Alligator mississippiensis: one gene and its partners. The protein of the gene in region 3 interacts with the protein of the main gene of each other region in a pairwise test. Links are inferred from orthologs where the notes say so. Each region holds a gene or a part of one and is shown on either strand. Other genes may lie near its edges.

The links.
Region 1: the proteins of GRN (region 3) and NLK interact in binary tests that used the Homo sapiens proteins (3 or more experiments, as listed by UniProt). The two-hybrid records come from large-scale screens. The link is inferred for Alligator mississippiensis from reciprocal best matches to the Homo sapiens genes GRN and NLK.
Region 2: the proteins of GRN (region 3) and SMAD9 interact in binary tests that used the Homo sapiens proteins (3 or more experiments, as listed by UniProt). The link is inferred for Alligator mississippiensis from reciprocal best matches to the Homo sapiens genes GRN and SMAD9.
Region 4: the proteins of GRN (region 3) and GLRX3 interact in binary tests that used the Homo sapiens proteins (3 or more experiments, as listed by UniProt). The link is inferred for Alligator mississippiensis from reciprocal best matches to the Homo sapiens genes GRN and GLRX3.

Annotation. Positions count from the first base shown.
Region 1 is NC_081837.1:7,254,493-7,262,787, forward strand, and holds the start of NLK (serine/threonine-protein kinase NLK), read left to right. Parts: upstream 1-5,041; 5' UTR 5,042-5,727; coding exon 5,728-6,185; intron 6,186-8,295. UniProt on the Homo sapiens protein: Serine/threonine-protein kinase that regulates a number of transcription factors with key roles in cell fate determination. Positive effector of the non-canonical Wnt signaling pathway, acting downstream of WNT5A, MAP3K7/TAK1 and HIPK2.
Region 2 is NC_081824.1:420,512,886-420,520,971, forward strand, and holds the start of SMAD9 (mothers against decapentaplegic homolog 9), read left to right. Parts: upstream 1-4,904; 5' UTR 4,905-5,029; intron 5,030-5,346; exon of another isoform or gene 5,347-5,451; intron 5,452-8,086. UniProt on the Homo sapiens protein: Transcriptional modulator activated by BMP (bone morphogenetic proteins) type 1 receptor kinase. SMAD9 is a receptor-regulated SMAD (R-SMAD).
Region 3 is NC_081827.1:160,435,086-160,442,389, reverse strand, and holds the start of GRN (progranulin), read right to left. Parts: upstream 3,028-7,304; 5' UTR 2,834-3,027; intron 1-2,833. UniProt on the Homo sapiens protein: Secreted protein that acts as a key regulator of lysosomal function and as a growth factor involved in inflammation, wound healing and cell proliferation. Regulates protein trafficking to lysosomes, and also the activity of lysosomal enzymes.
Region 4 is NC_081829.1:77,670,589-77,678,252, forward strand, and holds the start of GLRX3 (glutaredoxin-3), read right to left. Parts: upstream 3,434-7,664; 5' UTR 3,390-3,433; coding exon 3,325-3,389; intron 1-3,324. UniProt on the Homo sapiens protein: Together with BOLA2, acts as a cytosolic iron-sulfur (Fe-S) cluster assembly factor that facilitates [2Fe-2S] cluster insertion into a subset of cytosolic proteins.

The DNA of each region.
Region 1 (8,295 bases), on a different chromosome or scaffold from region 3:
ACAGTGTTAGATACACACTCAGCAGACTTGCTACCACTTTCTAGCACCCTTAGCGTGAACAAAATAGTAACAGACAGATGCATGTCCCCATGAATAACCGGCTTTACCAGTAAGAGATTAGAATTGATCTGTCATGTTTCATCAACAACAGCCTACAATCACACATTTCCATGCATCACTGGGAATGACAAATTAGTTGCAATCAACTTGGGCAGTATCTAGTGCTGTGTCGTTACCTGCAGCTTCCCAATTACCAAGGGTCAAATTTTGGCAATCTGATTCTGTGGGCAGCTTTGTTGACAGGAGTAGGGGTTTTCATACAATTATGTGTTTCTCTATGGGAGTAAATGTGGCATCATCTAATCTTGAATGGTTGGAACATTAAAGGCAAGAGAAATGCAGTGAAGCACATGCAACAGTTATGAAGATATAATTCTGCATACCTCACATTAACTATGGCGTACTCATGCAAACAGTTGTACCCTTTTGGGTCCAGAATGAGGTAACTGAAACTATTAGAAGCTATCAGCATCTTATTTATTTTACCTGTTTTCTATTCCCTTAAAATGATTCAGCAGAAAAAAAGTTTTATATATTTCACTGACCATCAAAATATTTCTGCCTATTAAAACAAAACAAAAAACCCCAAAACAGACTGTTTAAATGGAGTCCTGCAAAAGCTGTCAATCACTGACACAGAATTAATCAATTCCTCTTCAAAGGCTCTGGCTTTTTACACATATGGCAGCACTACTCTCTTTTTGGATCATTCTTTATGCTACAACATCCTTTGATGTTTTTCTTGCAGCTTTCACAACAGCTGTGGTACTCTACAAAAATGACCATCAAATCAAGAGTGCAACCATGTACATGCATGGGTGGGGGGGCACTGAAGTGGGGGGCACGGAAGAGGGGAGGCGGGGAGAATGACGACAAGGAAATCTTGGCCCATTCCTTGCAGATCTTGCAAGGTTCTACTGTACAGCAGGGCAGAGTTTGGAGATCCACAGCGGGGATTGGTAAACCTCATGTGGCATCAAGATATACTTGTTAGGGAGATTTCTTCCAAGCTGACATTTGCCAGGACTGTACATGGATACCCGAGACCAATGCCCCTTCAAAACCATCTTCTATCAGCCATCCGCCTGATGGATGATGATGAACAAGAACTGGCTTTCAGCTGGAGTAAGGACATAGCAGACACTACCACACAGAGTAACAGACAACACTTCAGTAGTGCTTTTTAGCCATCAAAGTCAAAAGCACACAAAGGTAGGTACCAGTAAATATCTTTATTTCCAATCTACAGAAATGGATGCTGTGAAAGTGTGGTTGGTAGCATTTTGGCCAACATCAGAACTAGACTTGGAACTGGAATTCAGCTCCATCTCCAGCGCTCATATCTCACCTAACGGAGCACACGTCTGATTGAGAAAAAGCACATCTAGAAATATCTAGTTTCTGGATATCATAGAAACTGTTCTCTATCACACTTCACAGTTCTAGTACATTTATTAACATTCTTTTTTCTGTTAGATGACACACGTATTGCCTTTCTAAATTTCCTCATTAATGCAAAAGCATTCATCTCACATAGTTGGTCAGACTGTTTTAGCATATGTAAACATTCGTCTTTTTGCCCAACAATATAGAAGTCTTGTTGCAAAAATATTTCCATCAGTGTCTCAACATGGACATACTATGAAGCTGAGTCCAATAAGTCCTTCCCATGCCCCATGCTGGCATTCCCATAATTCTCTCATGCTCTTGCACATAAAAGCAACATACTGTACCACTGGTTATGAAGAAAACAAACATTAAAAATAATTCCTAATGCTTTCATATCTGTTGATTTTTATAGTAAACTCAAATAGCACGATTCAGAATTCTAACATCGAACTCAGCTGGTAACACACACTAGCTATTAACGCAGTCTTTTCTTTTTTTGATGCAATAGGGATAACTTCAAAAGAAGTCACCAATTTTGAATACGCAGCTGAAAGATACGTCACAATTTTAAATGGGATCTAAAGTCTTTGTAGAACTGGGCCAAACATAAATAAGAATGGGGCAGAAGTAGAAGTACAAAAAGCTAGAACCCAAGCTGAAATATTTAAAAAAAAAGCAACAGAAGTAAAAAATACTACTACGTAGAAATACATCTTGCATGTGGCAAGTCTGAGAAAAGATGCTTATATCCTATACTTAGTATTTCACACTTCCCCTCCTCTTTTTGTTTTATTCAGCTGGTATGTCTTATCATTAGATAAGTCTAAGATTGTACAACTAGTTGTGTGCATGAGTAAATAAGAATGGAAGTATTCCCATCAATTTAAATGGGAACACACACACACCTTTGCAGCTATGCACCTAAGTGGACCAGGGCTCAACTAACTCTATGAGGGACAAATGTTTTAAGATATTTACATGTTGCTGGGGTGTTAGTTGTAGCTGTGTTGGTCTAAGGGCATCGGCAGGCAAGGTTCTTTGGGGAGATGTGAGATCTTTTATTAGACCAACTGAGTAGCTGGGACTACTCAGTTGGTCTAATAAAAGATATCACACTCAAAGCTAGATGTAGGGAGGCCTGGCTAGTTGAAACTACTCAGTTGGTCTAATAAAAGATATCATATCTACCAAAGAACCTTGCGTGCCTTAAGATACGTAGGTGCCAAAGTTCCACTGAAATCAAATGGACAATTAGATACCTAAGTATCTTTAAAAATATGGCCTCACATTATTTAAGGGAGGGATGTTGCCAATGGTTAGCTGGGAAATGGAAATAATGATGCTGAACTCTTTTGTAGCCCACTTTGAGGTCAACTGATGAAAAGCATTATGAGAGAGCCAGGCATATATTTGATGCTTAACATGAAAAATACATATCACTGAAGACCTTAATGCCAGAGAACAAGTAAAAAAAAATCAAAGTTCCCACTTACTAAACTGTTTAACCTCAAAACATTTTTGCTTTTCCCATATACAGAGCAAAACACAGAGAGCACACTTCTGAGATGCAGTGCGTGCACCACAAGAAACTTACAACGGGAACCTGCAAAGAGGTGCAATCCCAGATCTTGGTGAGGATGAGGAAGACAGCCCTCAGCTTGCTACCAGTGCCTTAAAAAGAGTGAGATAAATAAAGAATCAATACAAATGTCAGATGGTGTTTCCCTCAGGTTTATTTGGCAACCTGTATGCTTCTGAAAAAGTGCTAACAGCTGCTTTGAGTGTTACTGATAAGGAGGAGCAGAACAGATCAGATCTCTTCATGAGCTTCTACCTGAAAGGATCACTCCTAAGAGGCAAGCTTTGCCGGTGGGGATGGGTTAACCTCTCTACACAGAGCTCTCAGACATACTACTAACGTCATAAGCCAGGACTGTTAACAGCCTGTTGTAACAATAAGAACACCACTAAAATTTCAGGGTATGCTGGAATGTTTTTGCTGCCCTTCACTGACAGCAAGAAAATTTAGGATTTACCTCCTTAAACAGTTCAGCAGCAAAAGCAAGAAAAATTAGTTCTTAGTCTCACCCTCCTTCTCCTCCATGTGCTCCTGCCAAGCCAGGACTCCCTACATCTAGCTTTGGGAGGGTTTACGGCCTACTCTGCAAATACACTGACGCAAATACCCCCTTGCTGCGAGTCCACTGACTCTGGGATGTGTGTGACCAGTTTTTACACACGCCCTGACTGCAGTGAGACCGCTGCCAGCCATCAGATGACACCAGTTTGTTTCCAGGGTTAAAATAGAGATCCCACGCAGAGATGTTATCTTAGGCATTTGAAAAGTGCGTGCCAGAGTATTGTTCAGGAATAATGAAACTGAAAATATCTAAACCTGAATATTGTTGAGGACTATTCGGAGTATTGCCTGTGAATGAAAGTGAACCGGTACTGAAACATCACTTGTGTTTGCGTGCTCTTCGTCGATTACACCAAAGAAAATGAGGGTCAACCTGGCCGTTTCCCTCCCTTTCAACTTCTCTCGCACAGTTTTGTATTAGAGAGGGACCGAAGGGGATTCAATGTCACGCTGCCCATTCTTCGTCTCGGGGCTGATCTGCGTTCACCAAACCCACACCTGTATTTTGCCCTGTCGGTGCTTCTACTGCTAGGTAACGGTATCGTTTTGCTCCAGGCAAGTGGCGGTTGTTCACTAACGCACGATTCGTGGGGGCGACGGCGTACGTCTATTCAGATCCTCCTTGGCAGCTCGGCGACTGGTCTGAGGACGGGGGCAAGGCTGGTGTTCGGCTCCCGTCCCCCATTTAGAAATAATTCTCATTTTGGAGGGTCGCTCCCGGCCAGGAGTCGGTGGAACAATTTGCAAAAACGACGCGCTGGCGGACACTGCCGAGGAAAATCGCAGCTCGCCAAAAAGGCTTCGCCCGAAAATACAGCTCCACCGCTTGGCTCCAATCAGGCCAAAATGGTGCTTGTCCAGACATGAGGAGAGAGTCTTTGAGGCAATCTTTTCATTAGACCAGCTGTCCAGTCAGCTGTCAAATGCCAGATCCCTTCCCCTCCCCCAAGGACTCTGCCCTTCCCATCCTGTCTAAACCCGGGCCCGCCTCCCCCCGCCCCACCCCCTGCTCATCCCGGATTGGCTCCTGCCCTTGCCCCTCATGCCGGCCCCGGCGCTCATTGGGCCGCTCACGGGAACCTCGCCTTCAGCCACACTCTTTTTTTTTTTTTTTTTTTTTTCTTCACCCTGCCGTCATTGGCTCCCCATTGGGAGCGGCTCCTCCATTGGGTGGGAGGAAAGCGCGCTACGATTGGCCGGGCGGAGGCCGGGAGGCGGGCCCGCCCGAGGTGAGGGTTGTGTGAGGTGAGGGAATCTCGCGGGGTCTCGCCGAGCGCTGGGCGCGGGGAGGGCCGCGCTGATTGGACGGCGGGGTCACAGGAGGCGGGACGAGCCTCCGCGGCACCGGCCGGCGGCGCTGGGGCCGGCTCTGTGATTGGATGGGGGCGGCTCTCGCGGAGCCGGGCGGGCCGGGTCCCATTGGCTGCGGGCTGGGGGAGGGGGGCGGCCGGCTGCGCGCGACGGCCGCTGGCTGCTGGCGGTGCTGCGCTCCGCTCCGCGCGGCTCCGGCGGCAGGTGAGTGGCGGCGCCCTGTCAGCACCGGGCCCGGCCCCTCGGTCCCCCCCGCCCGGCTCTGGGGGGCCCGGAAAAGTTCCCAGGAGCAGCTCGTGGCCGCCCGGGGAGGGATGTAGGAGGCCCGCGGGCCGGGGGCATGTGGGCATGGCAGGGGTAGCCGCACCGGGGCTGTGGAGCGGTGCCCGGGGGGCTGCCGCGCACCCTCCTCGCGGGGGGCGCGGGGTCTGACCCTCCCCCGCCTCTCGACACGCCGCCACCGCCACAGGATGGAGTGCTAGTCGCCCGCCACGGCAGGAACCTCGGGGGGAAAGGGGGGGATCCCGCCCCACCCCGCCCGTCCCCGTCCCGTCCGCCGGTTCGGCTCCATGAAGACGTGAAGCCCGTTGAGCTCGATGCGCTTCGAGGCGGGCCGCCTAGGATGACGCCTGACTCGTGCTAAAGAGTAGCAAAACTTTGTGGGGGTTTCGGTCCTTTTTCCCCCCCCCCCCGCCCCCCCGGCCTGGCCCGATGACCGCTTGACCCAGTCGCGAATCCAACCCGAGGGCGGGTTTTTTTTGGGTTGTTGTTTTTTTTTTGTTTTTTTTTTGGGGTGGTTGTTTTTGTTTCGGTTTTTGGTTTTTTGAATGTCGCTCTGTGGCACGACGGCCAACGCAAAAATGATGGCGGCTTACAATGGCGGTACGTCTGCGGCAGCAGCGGGTCACCACCACCACCATCACCACCACCTTCCTCACCTCCCTCCTCCTCACCTCCATCACCACCACCACCCTCAGCATCACTTGCATCCTGGCTCTGCTGCCGCGGTACATCCCGTACAGCAGCACGCCTCTTCGGCGGCTGCCGCGGCGGCGGCTGCGGCGGCGGCTGCGGCGATGTTAAATCCAGGGCAACAGCAGCCATATTTCCCATCACCGGCACCGGGTCAGGCCCCTGGACCGGCTGCAGCGGCCCCAGCTCAGGTACAAGCTGCAGCAGCTGCTGCAGTTAAAGCGCACCATCATCAGCACTCACAACATCCACAGCAGCAACTGGATATCGAACCGGACCGACCTATCGGATACGGAGCCTTTGGTGTCGTCTGGTGAGTATGGAGAATCAGCTGAACTCGTTTTTTCCTGTCATTGTTTAACGAGTCGTCATTCATGCTTATTTTTGTCATTCGGGCCAGAAGACCAGAAAGCTGCTTACTTGCAGATTGCTTTTGATGATTCATATCTATTGTGGAAAGTTGGCTTCACTTGCGTGAGTGGACAGAATAGGGTTTATTGTGAAGCGGCAACCTCTCACGGATAGGCCGCACCGTAAACCGAGTTGAGTTTTGGATGATACCATTATTTTGAAGCAGATGCAACTTGTTTATACGCCTTGTATAAATATTGTACGACAAGAGGGGAATGGCATTTGGTTTACTTATAGATGAGCTGTGCACGCACTTAGGATAATGCTTAGTAGAGCGCACATTTAGACATAGGAAGTACATAGAAAACACATGAAAATTGGTGTCTTAGGTTAGTCAGCTGTCAACATCTTGGTCTTGGAGACTGCATTTGCCCTGCAGCAGCATATTACATATCACCCAGGACGGTGACACCTTAACTTTGCACATTTCTCATGAATGTAAATGGGTTTCACTGTCTTCCTGTATTTCTGCATGCTCTTTCTTCTTTCCCAACCCCTAGCCACTTAGGTCTGGGGCTCTTATCTGTCACACTTATCCTCTTCTTAAAATAATTTGTGACCAACCTAAAAGAGCTTTTTTAGTTAGTACTTTCCAGGATCATGAAGGAAACGGTCCCCTCCCCCCACCCCTTTTTTTTACAATACTTTGTTTTTGAGAACAGGAAATTTACCATAAGGCTTATGGTGCATTAGAAACGCCAAGTATGTATGGGTTTTGTTTTTTGAGACCAGGCATATTGCAGCACACTTCCTGTTCACAAATACGAAGTCAGAAGCATGAAACTAGTTTTACCCCACAAAACTTTTAACTATATTTATTCAGTATAGGTTTTAGTGGTATTTAAGAAATGTTGTCTTTGCTCCATCCCATCATTTCATTTTGCTGAAATAGACGTAGTCTGCTTTTTAAAGCTGTGATTCTCATGGTAGATCAGTACATGCTGCAGCTCTGAAGGGTTTTACAGTAGAAGCCTTCGAAGAGCAAGATTGCGCTTCCTTAAGACTGATAACTGCTAAAGTATCAGACAAATGTGTTTGTTGCAAAATATGGTTTTAATATAAAATACAAAATGTGTGGCTCAAACTGTGTAAGGGTTAAGGGAGTAGGTTAATGTTTCAGTTGAATTGCATCTTATTTTTACAGTCTCGTACCGTATATTAATTAAACGCTAATTGCTCAATGCCAGAAAAATGATTTACGTTTTGTGAAGGGTCTGCATTGCTGTACCTGGGTTAAAGTGCTCTTGCAACTATACAGCATAACCTAATTTTAAGCATGAGATAATCAAAATTAGAGAGCAGTCCTTCATACAGATATATAAAAAAAATATTTCTATCTTTCCTTTTATTTTTATCTTTGGCTATTGTGTGTGTTTTTCTTGCCTAGAGTTATTGCAGTCTCTGTTAATTTAGGCTGGTCGGTAAAATCAGATCCCATTATCTTTATCATCTGGTGCAAACATCTTGTTAAATACACATTTCCCTTGGTCTCTGTTTTCCCTTCTCTGTTTGAAAACAAAATTACACAAGAAGATCTGCTTGCATTATTTTTAATTATGTAAATATTTTATTTTGACACATGAAGATAGAGAGTCTAAATAGTAAGGTATATCAGCATTAACAAATGATCAAAAGAAAGGGGAAAAGATCCTCTTATAGAAATAGGGATAATATATAACTATACAGATGACAGACTGCAGGTAGAATGGGGGCCAAATCTTTCATTGATATTAAATGGGACCCTGATTCTGCAGTTGGATCCAGGCAGATGGAGGGGTCCCTCCTACCTACAATTGTAGGTTTGGGGCTATGGCATTCATTTTAAAGAAAAGCTGAAGTTTTCAATTCAGCAGTGGTTAAGATCACCGTGGGAGCACAGAGATCAAGGCTGACCCTGGTATAGCAATTTCTATATTCCTGTAGACTGGAAAAATACATACATATTTGCAAAACCTAATATCAAGTCCTTAGTTTGTTCAGTGGCTTCTGTTAGGCTTGTGGCATTGGATGAT
Region 2 (8,086 bases), on a different chromosome or scaffold from region 3:
TGTTGACACACACACAATTTGCACTGTGTTAAGTAAATCCATTTTAAGTCAATTTAGTTAAAGTGGTATTAAGACTGTGTGGTTGCATTTTGATTGTTTATCAAATGGCTTGTATCAATTTAACTTGAAGTCAGTACCATATTTAAGTAAACAATCCTACTATTATTGATTTACTTTTTATGTGTATGATTTCTTTACCGTTTTCTTAAAATGTTAACATCATTACAGATACAAAGTCTCATGTACCATCATCAAGATACAGTAGTAGTAGGTGCTTCATAAATGTTTATGACAGATTAATAAATAAGTGTCTCACTTGTCACTCATTTCTCGAAAGTCTCATTCAGATGAAGGAACACAGCAGTAATGGAAAAGCAGCTGACACATTTGTGATGTTTAGGACCTCGGTGGGAAGCCTAAACTGTTACAGGCTGCATCTACATATGCACTTTACTGCAGAGTAGACTAATTAGCTGTGGAGTAAAGTGTCACCATCTGTATACATCATGGTATTAGGCCTCAATAAACTAATTAACACCACTACAAGATAGTACTATCTCATGCCAGGGTAATTTACTGTGATTAAACACATGTGTAGATGCTGACCACAGGTATGAATTGTGCCCAGTCACCCCAGCCAGCCCAGGGCCAGACTCCTGCCCACTACCTAGCCACATGGCTCTGAACTTTTAGCACCCTTGGGCCCTGGCCAGCCCCTCTGACACTACCACCTGGGGCTGACCTCACGTGCCCCCTGCCAGCCTGGGCCTGCTCCACCCCAGGTCAGATTGCTGCTGTCCTGGGCACACATGTAGATGCTATGGCTCAAATTGTTCCAGAATGTATTGCTTTGCATTAATTGCATGTGTAAATGCACCCACAGTGGAAGATCCCTTATTATTACTTGTTATTCACAGAGTCAGATTCCTTGTTTTACAGAACATAATATTTATTATTAAACTATAAGTTAATTGTGGGCTTATACTCTCTATGCAAATTACAGTAGTTTTTCTGCCATGTTTTATAATTGATAAAGTTTGTCATGAGATGTCAGGGCTCCATATTTAGTGACATCTTTGATCACACTTCTGATGGATTTTTAGACATAACATGACATTACATGAGCTGATTAGTTCAGTTGTAGCCCTAGAGTCAGTATCTTAAAGCTCATGAAGTTAGAGTGCCTCTTATTTCTAGTGACTTCTACTACTCATGTCATTAGACCAAGAGATCCCTGATACCTGTCATTTCTCTTTACTTCTGTATATACAACAACTGATATAAATGCCTCGTTACAGATTGTTATGCAATGCATAAATGGTTATTTTGGTATTGCTAATAATTGCTTGATACTAAGTATTAAAGATAGGAAATAGATCCACTATTGTTACAAGTTATGATTGCAATTATGGCTTTATGGTCAGTTTCTCAAACAGTCCAAAACTCCCCTACAAAAGCTACTGATGTTATTTACAAACCACCTTTTTATCAAGAAAAGGAAAAGGTTGGATGAAAGGTTGGATGTGAACTTTGTGCCTATGGGGTACAGGAAGGATTTTTCATGCAGTAGGGCAGTATTTGTGCCTGAATAAAACATAGGGCTCCAGGAGTCCTGGGTGGAGGAGGGGCAGCCCTGCAGTCAATACCAGCTGGCTCTTAACCCCTGTCCCTTTGACTGGCTGCTTCCTAGACAAGGCTTTCAAAGGAGCTCTTGAAAACCCCTCCCCCGCATTCAGCACACTTCTTTTAACCCGGCCATAATTTGTCCCATTGCATATTAATGCAGCATATGGATTCGCATAACATTGTGTCATGCAGGTTAAGGATGAAGTCATAAAAGCCCTTTTATTAACAAGAACAATTATAACATTCTGTTGCAACATGCTGACAAATGGAGTGGTGTTTATTAATTGTGGATGCATTATTCACATACTCATTATATATGTACCCTCAATGTAAAGGGCTGCTTGGCAGCGAGATTTCTTTGGGAGCAGAAAAGCCTCCCAAAGGAACTCCAATGCCTGTGACACCCAAAAGACCAGGTAAGGCATTAGGAAATATTCTCAAGGAACAATACTGCCTTCAGCAAGAGAACAGAACTGGGTGACCAGCTAACTCTCTCCTACATCCTATATCCCTGGGGATATGTAGCAAAATTCTAGGAGGGTACATGAGAGGAAGCGGTGGGAAAGTAGAAAGGAAAGAGGAAAGCTTCTACATCACCTCTGACATTGTCAGAGAGGTTACGCAGTGCAGTGGTAGTGACAAAATGTGTTATGTGTAACATGTAGCCATGGGGGTGTGTATCCACATGGCACACCTTGAAAGGGGTAGGTGATCCAGATGGGTCTGAGAACTGTGGATCCAAATCAACAGACTACAAAAGTGGGCTTTAGACAGACTACAAAAGTGGGCAGATGAGAATAGGATGGGGTTCAACATAGACAAATGCAGGGTGCTGCACCTTGGGAGAAGGAATCCACAGCATACATACAGGCTGGGGAGTTCCCTTCTTGAAAGCACAGAGGAGAAAAGGGATCTTGGAGTCATTATTGACTGCAAGATGAACATGAGCCGCCAATGCCAGACCGCAGCCAGCAAGGCCAGCCAGACCTTGCATCCAAAGGTGCATCTCAAGCCGGTCCAGAGAGGTGATACCCGCCCCTCTATGCGATTTTGGTCAGGCCGAATTTGGAGTACTGCGTCCAGTACTGGGCACTGCACTTCAAAAGGGATGTGGCCAGCCTGGAGAGGGTTCAGAGGAGGGCCACCCACTTGGTGAGAGGGCAGCAGGACAGGCCCTAAGAGGAGAGACTGAGGGACCTAAACCTGTTCAGCCTCAGCAAGAGGAGGCTGAGGGGAGACCTAGTGGCTGCCTACAAGCTTATCAGGGGAGATCAACAGCAAATAGGTAGAGCCCTTTTCTCCCCAGCACCACCTGGGGTGACGAGGAACAATGGTAATAAGCTGATGGAGAATAAGTTTAGCTTAGATATCAGAAGGCAATATTTTACAGTGAGGGTGGCCAAAATCTGGAACCAACTTCCCAGGGAAGTGGTCCTCGCCCCTACCTTGGGCAAATTCAAAAGGAGGTTGGATGATCACCCGTCTGGGGTCTTGTGAACCCAGCATTCCTTGCTGCCTGTGGCAGGGGTCAGGCTAGATGATCTGTTCAGGTCCCTCCTGACCCTAGCTACTATGACACTTATTAAACTATGAAACTCCCCAACAGGGATGGACTAGAACCCAGGCCCTGAGCCTGGCCAGCTGTAGATGTGGGGAAGATCTGGATCAGTGGTTCTCAACCTTTTCACACTGGAGGCACACTTAAGAAAATGCTGGCTCCTGGCTTTGGTTCATTTTTTGACTCTGGAAAAGTATCAGTGCTGTTGTTCTGTTGCAAACAACTCAGAAAGCCCCCAGCAGGGCAGGATGCTTTTAACCCTACAGGTTCCTATTCAAAATCTCCCCTTTATCTGGTGACTCCTGTTTGCCCCAGTGCTAAGGCTGTGTAGCACCCTGGGTATCATTTTGGAACCAAGATTTTTGTTTTTTTGTATATCTTCTTGTCCAAGACCAACACAGCTACCAAGTACACCCCTGAAACATGGAAGATGCCGAATTTTAGCTGGTTTTGGATTTTAAATTTCATTGCAGAACAAGAAAGATTTTTTTACCCCCCCTGCCTGCCATCTGACACTTCCAGGGAAGGAATTCAACCTGATCTACACATCAAAGAGCCACTCAGCACAGCCCACAAAGGCACTCTCTTGGACCCAGAGGGACAGCCTTCCATTTTCAGCTCCCTCTGTGCAAGAATGAAGTTTATTTCTTACTTATGGGGACTTTTTACCACCTTGTACCATCTATACTTTTCCCAGAGCCTGCTGAAGCGACTTTGATCCCGAAAGCTTGCAGAAAAGGACGATTTTCTTGCTATTTCCCAGCTGGTTTAATAAAAGGTATCATTTTGGAGCCAAGAGTTCTCGTTTTTTCAAGTAGCACCCTGGGGGCACACTTGATAGGCTCTCAAGGCACCTCAGGGTCCCATGCTCCCCACTCCTCACACTGAGAATCGCTGGTCTGCACCTGTCCAGTCAGGCCCTTCCAGGCAGCCAGGCAAAGGGCTGGATGGGCAGGGAAGAGGAGCCCCAGCTCTAACCCCCCCAGTCTCATCCTTGGCTTCCACAAGTCAGAGTTTCTGGTGGGAATCCGTGAATGGGGGCCCCAGGTGGGGCAGGCAAGAGGGGTGGCCAGGTGCCTGGCCTGCCCCCTTGCTTCCCTCTGTGCCTGGGTGGGGAGCACTTGTGTGCGTGCGTGCGTGTGCGTGGAGGGGGAGTATGTATCTGGGGAGGGTCCAAGTAGGAGGTGTGTGTGTGTGTTGGGGGAGCGTGTATCTGGGGAGGAGTGTGTGTAGATGTGTGGGAGGTGTGGAGGGTGTGGGGGTGTGTGGAGAGGGAGCGTGTTTGGGGGAGTGGGGGGCAGGTGTGGGGGTTGCATGTGGAGAGGGAGCATGTGTGCAGAGGGGAATGTGTGTGTGTGTGTGAGAGAGAGATGAGGGACAGTGTGTGTGGAGGTCTGTGTGTAGGGGGCTGTGGGGAGTGTGTGTGGGGGTTGTATGTGGAGGGGGAGTGTGTGTGTGTGTGTGTGTGTGTGTGAAGGGGAGCGTGTGAGTGGGGGGGTGCGTGTGGGGGGTGGGGAGCTATGTGGGGGTTGCATGTGGAGGGATAGTGTGCATGTGGGGGGTGGAGGGCTGTGTGTGTGTGTGTGTGTGTGTGTGAGCGAGGGGAGGGGTGCGGGGGGAGGCAGGGGCGGGCCGGAGCCAGCCGCGCTGCCTGGCCGCGCTCCAGCCCGGCGCACTAATACAGGCTCGCAGGCTCCAGCCTGACTGACGCCGGCCGGGGCTGCTGCTGCCGCAGCCGCTCTGGCCCCTGCCGCCGCCGGGTTCCTGCAGCCGCTCGCAGGCGCTGTGGGGGGCTCGGGGCCGCGGCGCGGCGCGGGGCGCGGCGGGGCAGGCGGGACCAGGCAGGTAAGAGCCGCGGACCCGCTCCCGGCGTGGCGGGACCGCCTCCACCCTCCAGCCGGCGGGCAGGTGGCGGGGCAGCATCCCCGTGCGGGGGGCAGTGGAGGCATTCCCGCGCCGCGGCCGCACGGAGGGGGGGGGGGGGTGGTGGTCCGGGCCAGGCCAGGCTGTGCTCGGGGGCGCGGCCCGCCCCAAGCCCCGTCCCTCCCGTCCCCTCCCTCCCTCGCTCCCTCCTTCCCGGGCGCGGGTCCCGGCCGCTCCCGCACGCGGCTGCAGGGGGAGGAGGGCGGCGGCGGCGCACGGAGGAGACACAGCGACGCCAGGGTGCGGGGGAAGGAGGCGCGGGGGGACGCCGGGGCTGCGCGGACACGGCTGCTCCGGGACCCGCGCCCGCCCCTGCGGCCGCCACGGGGCAGATCGGGCGGCAGGTCAGTGACACCGGCGGGGGAGCAGGGTGCCCGGAGCGCTAGTCCCGGAGAGGGAGAAAGCTCTGGGAGATCCTCCTCCTCCCCCGTTCTTGGTGCTGCTGCTTGGTGATTGCTACTTTAGTTGTTAAACTAGTAATTGTTACGGTGATGATCGCTGTAGTTGTCATTGTTCTTGTTCGATTGATAGTTCTTTGGTTCAGGGCCGGGCCAACCATGAGGCGACCTAGGTGGTCGCCAAAATTGAGGGGGGGGGGCGCCAAAATTATATGCAGAACAAACTAACAGGAACACCATTCTAAGTGACAGCCCTGGCCAGCTCCGGCTCCACCTTGCTCTAAGACCTTTGGTTGGGGAAGGGGGGAAAGACCTCGGAACCGATCTCGGAAAAGATCACTAGTATCGCGACTCCTACCTTTCCAACTTTTGAGCGGACTTATGACAAGAGCATACCGCTGGCAACGTTATCCTAATTTTCCTCTGTACTGGAAGTGGTGGAGGTGCCAAGGTACCCAGTCTGCCTAGGGCGCCAATTACCTTTGGATGGCTCTGGTTTTGTTATTCCTATTATTTTTGTTATCCTCATCATCAGAATTATTGTATCACCATTGTCATCATCATTATAATTATCGTTGTCCTCATTTCATTATCACCAACCACCATCATCATTATCATGATTATTTCATTATCATCATCATGATCATCACCATCATTATGATTTCATTATCATCACGGATGATGTCATCATCATTATCATAATAATTTCATCATCATTATTATCACTATCATTACCTTTATGGTCACCATTGTGATTATTACCATTATTTTATCATCATCATCATTATTATCGTCATCCTCATTATTGTTGTTATTATTGTTACTATCATTTAGGAGCATCTGAAAAGGGACTTTACAAATGTAGCACCGTACAAATGAATTAATGGGTGCAGTGTTAGTTTATCTTTTTCCCTCTAAATGTCTCCCATTTGCTACTAATCAATCATGCTTGCTTTAAAGAATTCTCATTCATGTGAGCTGAAAAAAAAGGAGAAAACTTCCATAATTAAATGTTTATAGTAAATAGAGGTGATGGAAGAAAAGAAATCATTCTCCACCAAAGATAGCTTCTTAATGAATGAGTTTTGCCCTAATCCCGTTGCAATAGGAAATGATGTGCGAGTTCTTGGAATGTATTCAAGTCTGTGGCTGTCCAGGAAGGATGCTGCAGATAAGACCAAATTCAGTGCTTTATAACTGAAATACATGTAAAAACATGCTTATAAAGAAAGCATCTTTTGCGTTAGGAATACATTATCTTCCCATCTCCTATAGGATAAACTAAATGAATTACTGTAAAATTCTCCTCTGAGCAATAAATCCCCAGAGCAATGGCTGGAACAACTGTCATCACTCAAAGAAACTTCATTCTTTTTAATCTACCCAGACAACTCCCTTCTTTCAGATTTGATAGGTACCAGCATTTGGCTGGCTCATGTCTGTTTCGTATTCATTGTTAAGGAGGGAAATATTTTTTTTAATCCCAGTTCTTTTAACATTTCATTTATTACTCCACTTAAAATAAGCAGCTAGCTCTTGATGTTTTACTAGTGAAATTTATCAAGAGGTGTGTATAACCATTACTCAGTTCTAAAATGGTTTCAGATTCCCGACTGTCTGGTTGTACTGGGAGCTGGAGATGTAAACATTTTCTTCTTTGCTTTGTTATTGGCATTGGTAAAATCTCCAGACAAGCTGTAGTTTTGCATGAATGACTATAGTATGAATCTGTGAAGCAAGGGTATTTTATTAATAATGATTATGGTAATGGGGGTGTTAAAGTTTTAAGATAGCCCTAGAGCTTGGCATAGACACTTTTGTTTGTACATAAACTAAAATAAGTAGGTACATAAACGCTTAACAGACACTCATCTTCATAGGACCCCTGCAAAGTATTAAGTATTGTTTGATACACAAACTTGTCCAAACCCAAATGACAAGTACATGTATGCCCAAAATACACATTTACATTTAAAGGAATCAAATATCCCCAAAGCCTTTATATTCCTTCTGTTGAGCTCAGTAGTAGTTTTATTTTAATAGAAGCACACTTGGGCCTGAAACCCTGAAATCCCAGGAGATGAAGTCAGATAGTTAATTCCCCCTTTTCTCCTTTTCTTTGCAAGTTTTTTTGCATCTCATGTTTGAATTCTTAAGTGTCTGCTGTTATCAGTTAGGGAGATAGCATGTCCCACAGTTTTCTCTGTGGAATACTTAAGTGGTGTAATTTTGATGGTTAATCTATCCGATCTTGATAAAGTTTTATTTTTCCATTGTTTAATTGAAAGAATGTCAGCTGTTAATTACAAGTGACCACTAACCAGAGGACCAAGGCAGTAATTCCAGAATCAGTTGTGCTGTGGCTTCTAATCTAAATTAAGTTAACAGAATAAAGGAAGCCAAAAAGAGAAGAAAAAGTGCTTTGGGTAGTTTACTAATTGCAAATAATACAAAGTTATATTTACTAATGAGAATCTGTATAGTATAATTTGATACTTGGAAATAAACAGAGAAGGGGAAGAAAACAGTATAAATATTTGATCTAAAAAGAATACAGCAAATAATTTTTTTTTGCAAATAT
Region 3 (7,304 bases):
ACTAAGGTCAGAGACCAACGGCTTATCTACCCAAGGAAACAGCCCAGAGGGCAATAATGCACTAACTCCATCTGTGGATGTTCTTATGCAACAATAAGGAACTAGTGCTCTTTACACCCCCTATTTACTCTGCAACAGCTATTGCAGGCTAGTTTTCCCCGAGGACAAGCCCAATATAAAGAAGCATGCCCAAGCCAGTCAGGGCCCATTAAGGGTGGAAAAGCCTCCTTCTCAGAGATGCCGGCTACAGTACATATGTAACCCCTGCTGTGGCTGACAGTGTTTCATCTTCTAGTATAGGGCTGAGGAGGTGGTTAGACCATTGCTACAATCCTACATAGCTCACAATCATAAGGTTGTATTTCAGCTGCATTGGGGCCAGCAACCATGTTGCACCAGTATCTCTATAATACTTGTTTCCACAGGGTAGACAAGAATCAAGAAGCAAAAGGGGGGTGGGAAACAAAGCCGGCCCTGTTTCACTGCACCTCCAAGCTCTTAATTTCCTTCTCATCCAACAGGTTGTTATGCCAGACAGCAAGGGGAGGCTCTCAGACAGCAGTGCCCAAGAGATACATACAGTCAAGGCTCTGGGGAGACCTGCTCCAGGCAAAGAATTCCTTAAATTTGTAGAGTCTGGTCAGAACAAACATATGCTGGTTGGCTGATCCCATAAACCCAGTGCATGCACCCAGTTACCTGAAGCAGGACTGTTTACTATTCCAGCCATAAATACAGAGGCGGCTGCTGTTTTCATGCCCAGGTCAAGGCAAAATTACAGAAGCTCCAGACTCAGATACTCGCTACTGAGGGGAATTCGCTCCCAGAAATTAGTAACCTGCACAACCTGCCAGGCTTGTTTCAGCACTAGGCTAAAACCATCCTTCCATGCCTCTCTAAGACTGAGGTACCGACCCCAGCACCAGTGAGGAGAGAGGGCTTATTTGCTTCTGCCTTCACTACCAATAAGAGGTGCGTTCTCAGTGAGATGATCAGTGTCAGATCTTAGGGCAGGCAAAACTCTTTGAGTAGCTTTGAGTGAGGCAAACCAAGGAAACGCCACATCCAGGAACACTTGGGACAGGAAATATAGCATGGGCCTCTCCTAGCTACACTGCACTAAAAGAAAAACTGCCCAAGCCCAGTTTCCACAAGAACCAAACGAGCCTACGTATACTGACATCTTGCTGAAAAGTCACCTGCTTTGGCATTGAAGACAGCCTCAAACACTGAAGGGACGCGGTTCCCCATGGAAGGGTCTAGCACAAGGATATTTCCCCCTGAACAGCATTACTTGGTCACAGCCACCCCATACTACACCAGGATTCTGCTTCTGGGAAGGGTCCGATTTAGTGTGCTTGGCTGCAACAACCAACATCTGCCTAAGGAAAGAAGGAGCAATGCCAGGCTAACTCATTCACCCAAGCAGCACCACTAAAGTTTAATCATATGAACCCAGCTCTTTGTTCACTCACGCACATCATCATGGGATACTTCACAGACATGGGAATGAATCACTTCCTTGGTAATGGGCAGGGAAGAGCCAGGTCCTCAACCCATGCGGCGAGCACACGCACTTTATGCAGGCAAAGAAAGAAAGAACAGAGAGGGGCAGCCATGTTCTCCCTGTCGTGCACAGTCCCATGTGTTCATGACAAGACCAGTTTCTACCTCACGTATTAACCGAAGCAGAAGCAGAGTGAAGTACGGGCCTAGCTGGGCATATGGCAACAGACCCATCACTATCAGCACAGAACAATGTCAGACACCTGAAATCAACACTTTGCAGTACCCATCTCTCATCTCTGGTGCCAGCTGCACTCAACTCCACCCACTCACAGCAACAAGGGGAACTCAGGCTGCTGCAGGGTCCCCACCCTGCTCTGCCCAGCACAGGGCAGGCTGAGCAGCCAACCAGGCTGCTGGGGGAAAGCAGCCTGAGAAGCAAGGAGGTGAGATGCAGAGCACAGGGGAGGCCCCTTGAGAAGGGAGAACTCCTGGTGAGGTGGGAGGCCTGGGAAGGAAAGGAGAAAGAAGGGTCCTTCCAGGGGGCCAACCCCACAAACCTGGGAGAGGAGGGCAGGGTGTGAGCCCCCTTGCCCTGCCCTGCCCTGCCCACCCCCTATCACAGCGACTCCACCCAGAGCTGTGCCCCTCTCCCAGCTGGCAGGGGAGAGCTGCACTCCTCAGGACAGGCTCTCTGCCCTCAGCCTGTGCAACCTGAGAAGGTGGGCAAGGGCAGGGTGGGGGGGCAGAAGAGGCGCCCCCAGCCCTGACACCCGACCGATTGATTTTTTTTTCGTTTTTAAAGGAAATGTGTTCGTGTCCCAACTCAAAATCGGCCAAATCCATTCCAAATCTGCCAGTCATTCAAGAACCGCATGTGGCCCTATTCCCCGCAAGTCTCCTCTGCCCCCGCCTGGGGCTTCGGATGTTTCCAAATCCTTTGGCGGGCATCCTACGTGCAAGCCCGAGCCCAAAAGCCTGGGGTTCGGATGCCCCCGAGCCTGGCTTGCCCTCGGCCTGAGGGCCAGGGAGGAGTCTCCCCTTTCCGTAAGGCCGAGGTCTCTCCGCTGGAAGTGAAAGTGGGAGGCTAAGTAAGCATGACCTCGGCCAGGGTGGGTGCTACCCCCTGCCACGTTCGTGGCCGCCCCCAGCCAGGAGGAAACCCAGGTGGCGGCCAGGGTATGTCCCCTGCCAGGTGGACCCCCGCGCAGCGAGGAAGTGCCGACACCCCGCACCAGCCTGGCACCAACCACCTCGTGCGGCTTGGCCTGGCCTGGCCCGGCCCGGCCCGGCACCACCCACCCACCCGCCTCGCCCCGCGTGGTACCTGCGGCGGCGGCGGCCGAACCAAACACCAGCTCCCGACCCAGCACCACAAGAGCCAAAGACACTGCCAGATGCCAGCCCCGGCCGCTCCCCCGGATTGGCCCACGAGCCCGGCCTGCCTCGCCCCCGTTGGTCGCTGCTCCAAAGTGGGGCGGAGAATTCGGCGGCGAAAACCTGCCCTGTCCTTCCCGGGAACCCCTGGTCAGGTGATGGCGGAGTCACATGACACGCGGTCCCTTCCCCCCCTCCACGGCCCGGCAGGAGCTTGCGTTGGGTCTCTTGGTGCTGAGGGAGCGAGCAGGACGGAGAGCCGGGCTGGGAGGGACCCCCGAGGGGATCCAGTCCAGCCCCTGCTCTGGCAGGGTCATCCTTAGCCGAGCCCCCAGCACAGATCCGGCTCGCAGGGGCCCGCAGACGCGACAAGTGTGGCCCAAGCCACCCGCCCCTGCGCTCAGCTGCTAATGTGACATTGGCCCTGAGTGCCCACCTGAGTCCCTGCATGAAGAGGCATCTGGTTGCCTTGGGGGTTGATGCCCTACTTGAGGGTGGATGGCCCATGTGCTTATCAATAAGGAGCTGCTAAGAAATGATAGACCTCATGCACCACAAACGGCTTGGGAGTGGGTGTATTCTTGCTTCTGTGGCTGCCCTACTTCTCTTGCTGACTGCGTTAGACTGGCACTGTTTCCTACAAAGTACGATGGATGGACGGATGGAAGGAAGGAAGGGATGCTACAGCATCTGCAGGCTGAGCTGTTGACTGCATCAAGGCACCTACACAGCATATGGGTGACATTAGGCCCCATGAAACAGGCTCTCCAGTGTTGCTGGCTCCTGTGAATTCACTGCATGTAACATGTTTTCGGCCCCTTGTGGCAAGAGCCAAAAACTCCCAGTTTCATCTGATCTGAGGGTAACAAAATGTGTCGTCCTCACTCCCCTCGGTCTGTGCCTAACCACACTAAGCCTTGACTCCAGAGGTCACAAGCTGTACTGCAGATGTTGCCCTGCTCCTATTCCTATGGCCTACCCAGCTTTTAGTATTCACATGGTCTCCTCCTGCCTTCTTGGGGGGTTGCTATCCACCCATTTTACAGCTAAAGGTAAGAGCTCAAACAGGGTCTCTTGCAGAGACAGAGCCCAGGAGACTTATTTAATAGAGCCAAGCCAAATGACCTGGTGCAGAGTTACTTGCCAATGGTCCGTGCAGTGCTCCCATCACTTTCTGGTACAGTGCCCTGTCTTAACAGTTGGTACCTCCCATGCCTCATTTTAAAGTCCCATATTTTCTGAAGTGCTGAACATGTTGGGTGTTGAGCTCTTGGGCTGGATCCAGAGGTGCAGGCACATGTGGTTTGTGGTGCTGCAAACCTCTTTGCAGTGCCACAAATTACATGACTTGCACATTAATCAGTGCTCTGCGCTGCTAATTTGCAGTGCAGGGCAAAATTTGTTCCCAGGATTTCCCAGCAGCAAATCCCCACCCTAAAAAAAAGTAGCGCAAACCGTGCCAAAGTGGCAAGCACCAGGACAAACGCAGAGACTGGGGGTGAAGGGGGGAGGGGGGGGTGCAGGGGTGTCCAGTGAAGGCAGCTGTGTGCATTGTGGAGACCCCATGCTGAGGCATCAGCAAGCTGCTCCCTAGTTGGCTGGGGTATAGGGTGCCTCAAGACAGAGGATCAAGGAGCCCCAGGCTGGCTCTCCTCCTGCAGCATGTGAAGCAACAAGACACATGGGCCAGGGTGTGCACTGGGGCACAAAGTAGAGACACACATTTGTGCCACTACTATTTGTACTGCTGTAAAGGCATACCCCTGCTCGTGTGGGCCTGGCCTTGGACAGCAGGTGCAGGAAGTTTCCCCTCCTCCCCTTGGTTCTAGTGTTTTCACCTATGCAATTTCCTTCAAAACAAACTTGAACTGAAAACACTTTTTGTTTTCAAAGCCACTCAACCCCTGCCCCAGCACCAAACACTGGAAGCACCGGTCATGCTGATGCTGCACAAACTGCAAGGGCTGTGGGAAAGCAGAAGTGGAGGAAACTGCAGGAGGGGCTGGGCTGGGGTTGCTGTCCTGTAACCCTTTACTAAGGGTTGCACTGGGAATGCAGAGAGATTTGGCACCCATGCTCTGGTGCCACACAAACCTTCCTGGGGCCTGGCCCTGGTGAGGGGAGGGCAGCTTTCTGGCTGGCTGTGACAGGAATCATCCTCCTGTGTATCTAGCAGAGTTTTAAGGAAGGCAATTGCTTACTCTGTGATTTTCCTGCAAGGGCTACTCCATGTAGATTGCATGATACTAGGATTTGGTGGAGTCCAAGCAGTTGGTGTGATGTGGGGTGGGAGGGGTCACTTGTAACTACCTGGGGGTGGGTCTGGGGGTGATCTGTTAATAACAGAATATGGAATAGGGTGTATTTCTCAGCCCCCCCCCCTTGTTCTTTCTTGCCCCCATCCAGCCCTAGAGCCTGAACCCAGCCATGGCCTCACAGTGCCCCTCCCAACTACCGAGTTTCTCCACTCCAGATTGCACACAGCACTTGCCCCATTGCCCTGGCTGGGGATGCAATCAGATCTTCCGCTCTGCTGTACTGCCTTCCTGTTCCCTGGGCAGAGGAGTTTCTGGGGTACTTTTGGCTGTCCTGTCACTCACCCTTAACAGGGCTCCCCACTCCTGCCCTGTGCACAGTGCAGTGAGCCCCTCCTGCACGGTTTCTGGGGCACAGAAGTGCCTAGCATCCTTCCCCCACAACTGAGTTCAGGAAAACTCTGTCCCTTCTTCCCGTGAGGGCTATGAAAACAGCAGAGGCCATCCCTCTTGCAACACAGCCACCTGCCCCAGCTGCTCCATCTGTACTCTCAGCACTCCCCACTGGCTCACCAGCATTGCTGCCCCCACAACTCTCAGCACTGCTGGCAGGTCTTACCCAGCTCCTGAGGCTTCTTGGTGGAAGGAAAGGGGGAAACTGCAACAGAGCCCTACCAGGGATCTCTCATAGGACTGCATGTGTTTGTAGTCTTCCCTCTTCATCTGCCTCCATTTCCCCTTGGCTGAGCTGTGTGTGGGACCCTGGATTATATGATTTCCCAGTGAGAAAACAAGCTTCAAACACCTGAAAAGCTCAGAGAGAAAGGGGGAAATCCTCCACCCACTCCATTACTTTCCAGATGCCTAAAGCCTTGCCTAGGTTAATAGCCAGAAATACAGTCACTGCTCCTTGGTACAGGGCAGCCACAGGAGAAACGTTTGCTGGGTTTAAAACCACAAGCCCTGTGTGGGTGCCAGTGTATTTTGGTGGGCTCCCAGTGGCCACAGCAACGAGCAGACACATGAGGCACTGCCCTGAAGTTACTGCTCAAAACTCCTCCTTTCCCTATCATGGAACAGGTTTGCTTGCTAACCACAATCCACCCCAGAAGTAGCTGCTTTCTAGTGGTAGCATGAGGACTTTAAAAAGAAAGGACAAACTTCCACACTGTGGAAGGGGACATCTTTCATCTCTTTTTACATGTACCTCCTTCATGTCTTTGAAGATCCCCCTATTCTTTAAAAAAAAGTGAATGCACCCTTGGCTGTTGGTGAGCTGATCAGGGTGGGAATGTCATCTCTAGACATGGTGCTGGGGAGCCTAATCATGGGACACAACATCCATTCTAAAAAGATGTTGAGACATGAGAGAAGGTGCAGAAAAGAATCACACACCAGATGAATTGTTGTACAGTGAGAGACCATCAGAGCCTGGTCTGTTTAGCTTATCAAAATGATTGAGGGGAGACTTCATTATAGCATGGAGGTGTCCTTGCTGGGAGAAACTACTTAACAGCCTCTTAAATCTAGCAGAGAAAGGCAGAACAGAACATCTGGCTGAAAGCAGAATTCTTGCAAATTCAAACAGAAAATAAAAGTTGAGATCAGTAGCAGTAATCAAGGGTGATAAACTGGTGGAACAAACTGCTACAGGAAGCAATGTTTTCTATATTTTTCAGATCACGGCTGGGACCTTCATGGAAGAGATGCCTTTATCATGGTGAAATGTCCTGGCATTGGGTCACCTGATGACCTGATGTTCTCCTTTGGCCTTAAACTCCAGGGCTATGAATAAGCAATACCATGGTATGTACAGGCTGGCACCTGGTAATCCCCAGTGTGTCAGGGACATAGCATGGGTTGGAACAGGGGAAACCCTGCCTGAGGTCTGTTCATCCTGCAGTAGTTGGCAGATAATAGCGGTGTGCAAATGTAAAGCCCGTTTGTTGGCTGTTCTCTCAGACGGAATTGGTCCAATTGTTTCACAGCTCAGGTAGAAAAATCAGATGGGCCATCCATCACTGGTCCCAGTAAACAGGGGTTGTAGAACGATACCACCTTGGTGTCAACCTGGGTAGTGTCTACCTTGGTACTGGTGTCTTTATGAATTGTGTGTGTATGACTTTGCTCATCTGCTCGGTTGTAATGCTGCCCATGGAAAGCAAA
Region 4 (7,664 bases), on a different chromosome or scaffold from region 3:
TATGAATCTCCTTGTTATCTACTTATGGCCAAATACACAGTCTTGCTCACCCAGGCAAGGCTTCATCAAGTGGAAGTTTTGTTTCAGAGAAAACTAAAATATAAATTGTAAGCTGAAGTGAACTTCGTTTTATTGATTCCAGTTTAGTGAATGACAAAGACATGTTCTCCAAATAAAGCATTGAAAACATGATGATTCCTACTTCCATAGGTTATCTTTTTGTTAATGTGTTTGATAGTAATATGCACTGTGTGTACTAAAATAAACTTAACTGGTATCATTTTCTTAATTTGTAAATATTTATTATTAACTGTCTGTATACACTATGACACTCCTGAACCACCATCATGAAAAATTAGAATTCATGGGGAATTTTAGAAGATTTAATACCTATATTATCGATTTATCACTGCTAAGTTTCTGCAACTCTGAAACCAAAATATCATTTGGAAAAATTTTAAAAATATTAAGTTTATATTCCATTCCATGAGTTACTATTACTACTGTACGCACGTGCACACACACACAATAAGTTTACCACCCAATCCACTCCATTAGACTACTTAATTCCCAGACTTTTCTGAAACAAAGATATTAGGAAAAATCAAACGGTCCAAAACCCCATATAATCAACAGTATAATTAAGACTTAGCCCACTTTCTTTTTTTTCTGAGAGTTAAAGAGGTTCTGGATTTTTTTATGTTAACTCCTCCGTTAAAAAGATTTATTTAAGAGATAGGAATTATTTATGCAATGAAGAAGCTACATACTTTTTAATGTATGTTATCTAAAATTAATTTAGGCAACCTGGATAACAAAACAAGTGACACTAACGCCTTAAAGGTAAGAAAACCAGTAAAATCAATTCTGCTAATCTTACAAATATGATTCACAGAAGTTTAGGGCTGGAAGGGACCTGATGAGATCATTGGGTCCAGCCCCAATGCTCTGGACAGAAAAGACTTCTGTGGTCAAATAACCCCAGCAAGGTGTGCATCCAGTCTCCTTTTGAAGATCAGATAATGATAAAGGTATGCGCAGCCCCACAGAAAAAGTCAGCAGAAGGAAGAAGTTTCAGTAAGAAAAGTGTGCAAGTCCTGTGCTCTCAAAAATCTAAAAGATTTAAAGACACACACACAACCTGCACCTCCCACGAGAGAAATATTACCAATGGCCAATACTTTGATGTGTATGATTTGGGAATGAGGTGAACAATTTCAGTCATCCATTTAAACTTCTAATTTTAAAAACTATCCCATTGGCTATATGTTGCCAAAAAAGTTACCAAGTGAGTAGGTATTTAATTATTTGGTTCACCAAGAAAGGTTCATGAAACAGCCTCTACTCTTAAGGCACCTCAGAAAAATCACCTATAACATGCTAGTAGTTATTTATTATTGCCTTATTGGCCCCCTATAACTAGAGCTCTGATTCAATGAATCACAATTAACTTTAAACTACTTCTATTTTTCAGCAAAGCACATGAGCACAAACTTAACTTTAAGTACCTGATTAGTCTACTGGGATTTTTCACAAGCTGAAGTTAGAAATATACAAAAAGTTCCCTCCTCCGCCCATGGGCAAGGCCTAACTTTCCAATGCTTGCTTGGGTTTCACTGTACATATGATTATGTTGGACCGCATCAAAGGATCTCAGTGCAAAATCAAGGCTTAGCACTTCCAATCATTAAAAGATTAAATACGTTTTAAAGACCTCTTTGGTTATGATTAGTAAGAAGATTAGTTACCTTTGTTCAGCACCTGTTTCTTTAGTTCTTTTCACATTTAGTTTCTCAACTGACAATTGAATGCTACACTGCTTGGACCGCAAACTTGTACAGAGGTGCTGATTTAAACCTTCTCCCCTTCTCTGGGTCAGGGAAACATCTCTTATGATGAGGTGTATCGAACTTAATTTGTAAAATTTCTCCTACTGTCTATGTCCCAGAAACAAACTGAAGGAAGATGTGGCCCATTCTACAATACTTAATAAATAAGAGTTGTTTTAAAAAACACAACCCCCCATCCCTCCAACCCCCCCCCCAACAGTATTACACAGAGACAGACACACAATCTTGTTTGAATGGAAAGTATCCATTTTAAAAACATCCAGCAAATTTCTCAGAGTTTAGGAAGAGGAGGTGAAACTTGTTTGAGTCTCTGGTTCATGAATACAACCGTACTAGGCACACTGACTATATGAATGGATACAGCTTCATTTTGGCATTAACTTTAAGGGTTCACTAATATAAATACTGGGTAAAGGCACAATTCATTTACTATGGAATAAATCAGCTTCGCTCCTTAGGAAAAGTGGAGTGGGAACACCATGCACAGCCTTGCCGAATTTAAGTCACTGCACTCTGACGTAAAAGTCTCCTTCAGAAAACAAGGTGCAACTGGGTACCAGTCATATGCCCAATTACTGCAGGAAGTCAGCCCAGACGAGCTGATCATGTCTTTGCTCCTTATTACAGAGGGAGCTTCCTAGAGAATAAAATCCAGGGTACGTCACTCCATATCAATCATGCTGTGTCCACATGCACAAACCAGCAGCACTTTTACTTCCCCCTCCCAGAAATCCCCGACAACTCCTCAAAAACGAAAGCAACACCACGAACCTCTGTTGGACCCCAAGTTTACATACCTGGGCTTAAAAAACACCTGTCTGTAAAAAAGATGCAAATGCTTCCATTATTTTTTTTTAACCTGTTTTTTTAAAACAAGAGCATCCCCTCCCAAGCGCTGCAGCCGCACACATGGCAGCGAAACCTCAAATTAAAAAAAAAAGTCAGAAAAACAAAGAAACCAAGCAAAACAATCAGCGTAAAGTGGGTTTGGAAAGGATTTCCACTTCCCTCAGCCATCAAGTTTCTCCAGGGGTTGGTTTGACTGCACATGCAAGGAAAGGCAGGTGTGGCGGAGCAGGCTGGGTGTGAAGCGTGAGGAAGGGACCTGCCCCAGAGTGGAGCCGGGAACAAAACCGGCCCTTCCAGCTCCCACATGAAGCTACCTCGTCCCTTTCCCCGCGGCAGGGCCCTCGAGCCCCGCTGCTCATAAACTGCAGGCCTCAGGAGGCCAAACCCGGCACTGGGGGCGGGTGGCACCGACAGGCGTCGCCTTTGCGTCGCCACAGAGGCGCTGAGCGCCCCACACCCCGCACCACCACCCGCCACCCGCCGGGGGAGCAGAGCAGAGCACTGGGCCCCGGTCCCGCCCGCGCTCGGGCCTCCCCTCAGCCGGTGAGCGGGGGGTCGGGGTGGGGCTGAAGCGGGCCGGCCCCGCGGTGTCCCCTCCCGGGCCTCAGCCCCCGGCCTCACGTACCCGCCCTTCTGCTGCAGCAGCTCCTGGAAGCGCTCGGGGGAGCCCGCCTCGGCCACGGCCGCCATGGCTGGGGCTGGGACCGGAGCCGGGAGGGAGCGCGGGCGGCGCCTGCAGCACGTGTGTCTGCGCGGCCCAGCCAGGAGCGGCCCCGCCCCGCGCATGCGCACAGCACCTTCCTCTGCCGCGAGGGGGGGGTTTGCTGCTCATTGCCCGCCTTCCCGGGCGCGGGAGCCCCTCTCCCCCCTGGGCAGCGTTGACTTCTTCGGAGGGTCCCTGCTTGTGTTAAGGCCAAGCGAGCTGCACCCGTGTTGCAGCTGGAGTTGGTTAGTCAAGGATATGAAGCTGAGAGAGAGAGGAGGAGACCTGGTCCGGGCAGTGCATCTCCCTTTCCACAGAGGCTTTTTTTTTTTTTTAATGCTATGGATACTATCTGCTTTGGCAGCACAGTATACTAGTATTTCTAGACGGATTTCCTTCACTTTATGCTGTACATGCATTCCTGGAAAACGGCGCACAACTTGAATTTGCACCGAGGGAACAGATAAAAGACGTCGGATTCACCCAAAGAAGCTTGTCTGCCACAGAGGGAACCCGCCTTGCCGTGTAGCGAATAGGGACACGGGCGGCTGAGCTTCTAGTAAATATGCTGGGTGGCCACATATTGACAAGCAGCAACTCGCACCCTTATTTTCATCCCAGCTCAAGCGTTCCTAGGCCGAGCAGAAAATTATACAGGTTTCCCTCACTTCATACTGTAAACACGTTCCTGAAAAATGGCGCATAACTTGAATTTGCCTAGAAGGAACTCACTTTGCAACATAATAAATAGGGATAGGTTGCAAGACCTCGACTGTCCTGACCCCCAGACCCACATCTGCCACTTTTACAAGACAATTTCGGTACTCCCCAACAGCGGACAGTTCACACAAGCACAGGATGGTGGTGAACATTACCATCACGGGGATGGCGACTACAGAAATGCGTTGCAGACAACGGGCGAGGAGCACAGATGGATCCACACAGGAGACTGTATTTTGGTGCACAACACTCCCACAACGCACCACACAAAGCAGCTGACTGCGGGCCTCCATCACACCGCATACGAGTGAATTTACCTCGCGTATCACGAATTTTTGTTATAAACAGGGTCATTGCAAAAGAGCGAATTCTCTCATACAGAACCCGCATAAAGTGAGGGAAACCTGTTCCAGGAAACACCACTTTGTTCATACCAGTTGACATAAGAGACCACATGGGAAGATACACCAGCACACCGTTATTGCTTTGAATTCACACTTCGGCTTTACCTAGTACAGGCTTCCCTTGCTTTATGTGGGTTCTGTATGTGCGCATTCGCTCTTATGCGATGACCCTTTTTACACCAAAAATTTGTGATATGCGAGGTAAATTCACTCTTATGCAATCAGCTGCTTTGTGCGGTGCGTTGTGGGAGTGGCGTGCACCAAATATACAGTCTCCTGTGTGGATCTGTGCTCCTCACTCATTGTCTGCGACACGTGTTTCTGTAGTTGCCATCCCCATGATGGTAACGTTCACCACCACCACCAGGTGCTTGTGGGAACTGTCTGCTGTTGGGGAGTACCGAAATTGTCTTGTAAAAGTGGTAGACGTGGGTCTGGTGGGGGTCAGTACAGTTGAGGTCTTGGAAGATGTCCCTATTTGTTACACTGTGCAGCGGGTTCCCTCTGTGCGAATTCAAGTTGTGCACTGTTTTCCAGGAACGCATGTACAGCATAAAGCAAGGGAAACCTGTATAATTTTCCACTCAGCCTAGGAACACTTCAGCTGAGATGAAAATAAGGGCATGAGTTGCTGCTTGTCAATATTTGACCACCCAGCATCATTATTAGAAGCTCAGCTGCACACACCCTTACTGGACTCAATAAGGGTTTTCTCCAAACAGGAGGCTTGAAGCAAATATACAAAAATATTATTCCATCCTTTCAGTGGCAAGAAATGCTGGTGTTGATTTCCCATGTGGACCAACTAAGGGACCTGCATACTGCATTTCCAAATAATAGCAAGGCTACGCAAAATGATACCTCTTAGCCCTGAAAAATGTTATAGAACACCATCTATTGAGAATTTTTTACATAAAATACTAGATCTTATACTAGATCTAGATAAAGTTCTAGATCTTAAAACTCCACAGGCAAATGACTACTGTCTTTTTTCAAAGCACTTCTGTTTAGCAAGGGTGTGAATTGTCAACATGGCACCCAGCATTCAGATAGGTCTTTTACATTAAATTCACATCTATTTAACTACTTTGGCAGCATTTGCACCCATGGAAGAATGGGCTGTTATGGAGGTTGTTTTACTTCATTTCATTATTTTACTGTGGTCTGAAAAAGGTGTTTATTATACACAGTGTACAGTTTCTGTAGTTCATTTTTCAGTCATTTGTGGCACATTTCACTAACATCAAGAAATAGATTGCCAAGGTTCCAAAGCATAAATCTAAAACTAATTCTCCTGAATAAAATAATAAACCTATTTTTATTAAGGATCCAGATGCTTTTACCTACTGGTTAGTAATGCTTGTTCTCACTATCTTCTAACTATCATCCATCCAAGTATCACTTGAAAGTTGGCAAGTGCAGATAATCTGATGACTAAAATTCTGCAGCTTTATTTGAGAATGAAGTAAAATAAAATGCTTCTAAATAAATTTCTAAACAAAGATACTCAACAAAGCAATCTGTGCTATATATGAAAGCAACATTGGCAACTACTAATTAATGTTAAAAAGATGGTTGTTTACAACATTGTTAAACTAAGCCAAATAAAGCCACTTTAAGCCCCCCCTCCCCACATATCTTTAATAATTTGGATGAAGTTTTTCTGAATTTCCCCATGTAGATGAACTGCAAAGTTACATCTTCACTAGAGAAAATGTTGTTAGTTACCATATGTTAGCTAATGTGAGTTACACAACCTTTTCCTAGCGGAAAAAGGCCTCAAGAGCAGCATCCAGATGAGCACAGACATGCAGTGTGTGGCACCGCAGACCCATCTCTGGTGCCACACACCACACATGCAGGCAATCCCTGCGGTGCTGCTTTGGGTCAAAAAACCCACACCTTAAAAAACTGGGGTGGTGCATGTGGCAGAAGTGCATGCCACCCAAAATTGGAACCTAGCTTGCCAGAGCCATGCTCCAGCTGCCAGCCAGTCTCCCAGGAGCACTGCAGCTGCGGCTCCCCAAAAGCCCCCAGAACCCCAGGTAACCTGCCACACGTCAGAGAGCACATGGCATGGGCACAAGGTGTTCTGCTGCTTGTCCCCAGAGAAACAAATGTCTGGGCTCATGTGGACGCGGCTGAGTCCAATTTAGAGTAATTTACATACTGAGGAGATGGAGACAGATGTCAATTATGTCATTTTAGACTGTTTTAGATTTATAGGAGTCACAAAGACTCGCATCAAAATTTACCCTGGGATTAGGACTCTGCAACTGAAAAGGGGAATGCAAGATAATACTATGTATATTTTACTCTTGTATAATCATCCACTTCAAAGTAGTGCCAGGAATGCACCCTCTCAAATCAGTAGGAGTAATCATAGTATAATGTAAAAGCAGGTAATTTAAATTATGCCCATAAGGGTAGACAGCTCTTAAAAACTGAACAAAGTTTGATAGGCAAGATTTTTCTCCTAGAATTCATCATTCATATCAGGTTGTTGTCCAAAACCTACATATTACCATTTCCCTTCATATTTTCTAAGCTAGTCCATTGAAATACATCAGATAGAATGTCAACCACAAATTAGATTTTCACTCCTAATGCTCACTGGCCATAAATATGCAGTTGTTACAATTCATGATCCCAGAGCTAGGATTACCCCTTGTGATGAGGAATCATGTTCTGAGGAAATGAAACAAGGTCTTAAGAGTGAATATTTTAGTTTTGCTTTCTCCAATTACACTTATGTGCTTGCAGTGCCTTTAGAGAAAATAAAAATCCTAATCCTGATAAAAGTTAAGCAAACTGAAGTATACACATAATGTACACACCATGTACTAAAGAAAGTTTTCTGAGGTCATCTTTTTAAATGTCACTTACAATCTTCATAAAACATTAATATATTGCCTGAAATATGAACAGAAATGTACTCCTGTTTTATGCATTTGTAGGGAGAAGAAAATCCAGCCCACTGAAAACAGATTCTGCCATAAGACTATCTTCATACTTCTTTAATTTTTCCTTACTCAACAAGGAAACTTACTCTGTCAGTCACTTTTGGCTGACTTTATAAAGCAGCACGTGAGAGTTTTACTTGCATATTCTGCTAAACAGTGTTCAGTACAGACCTTG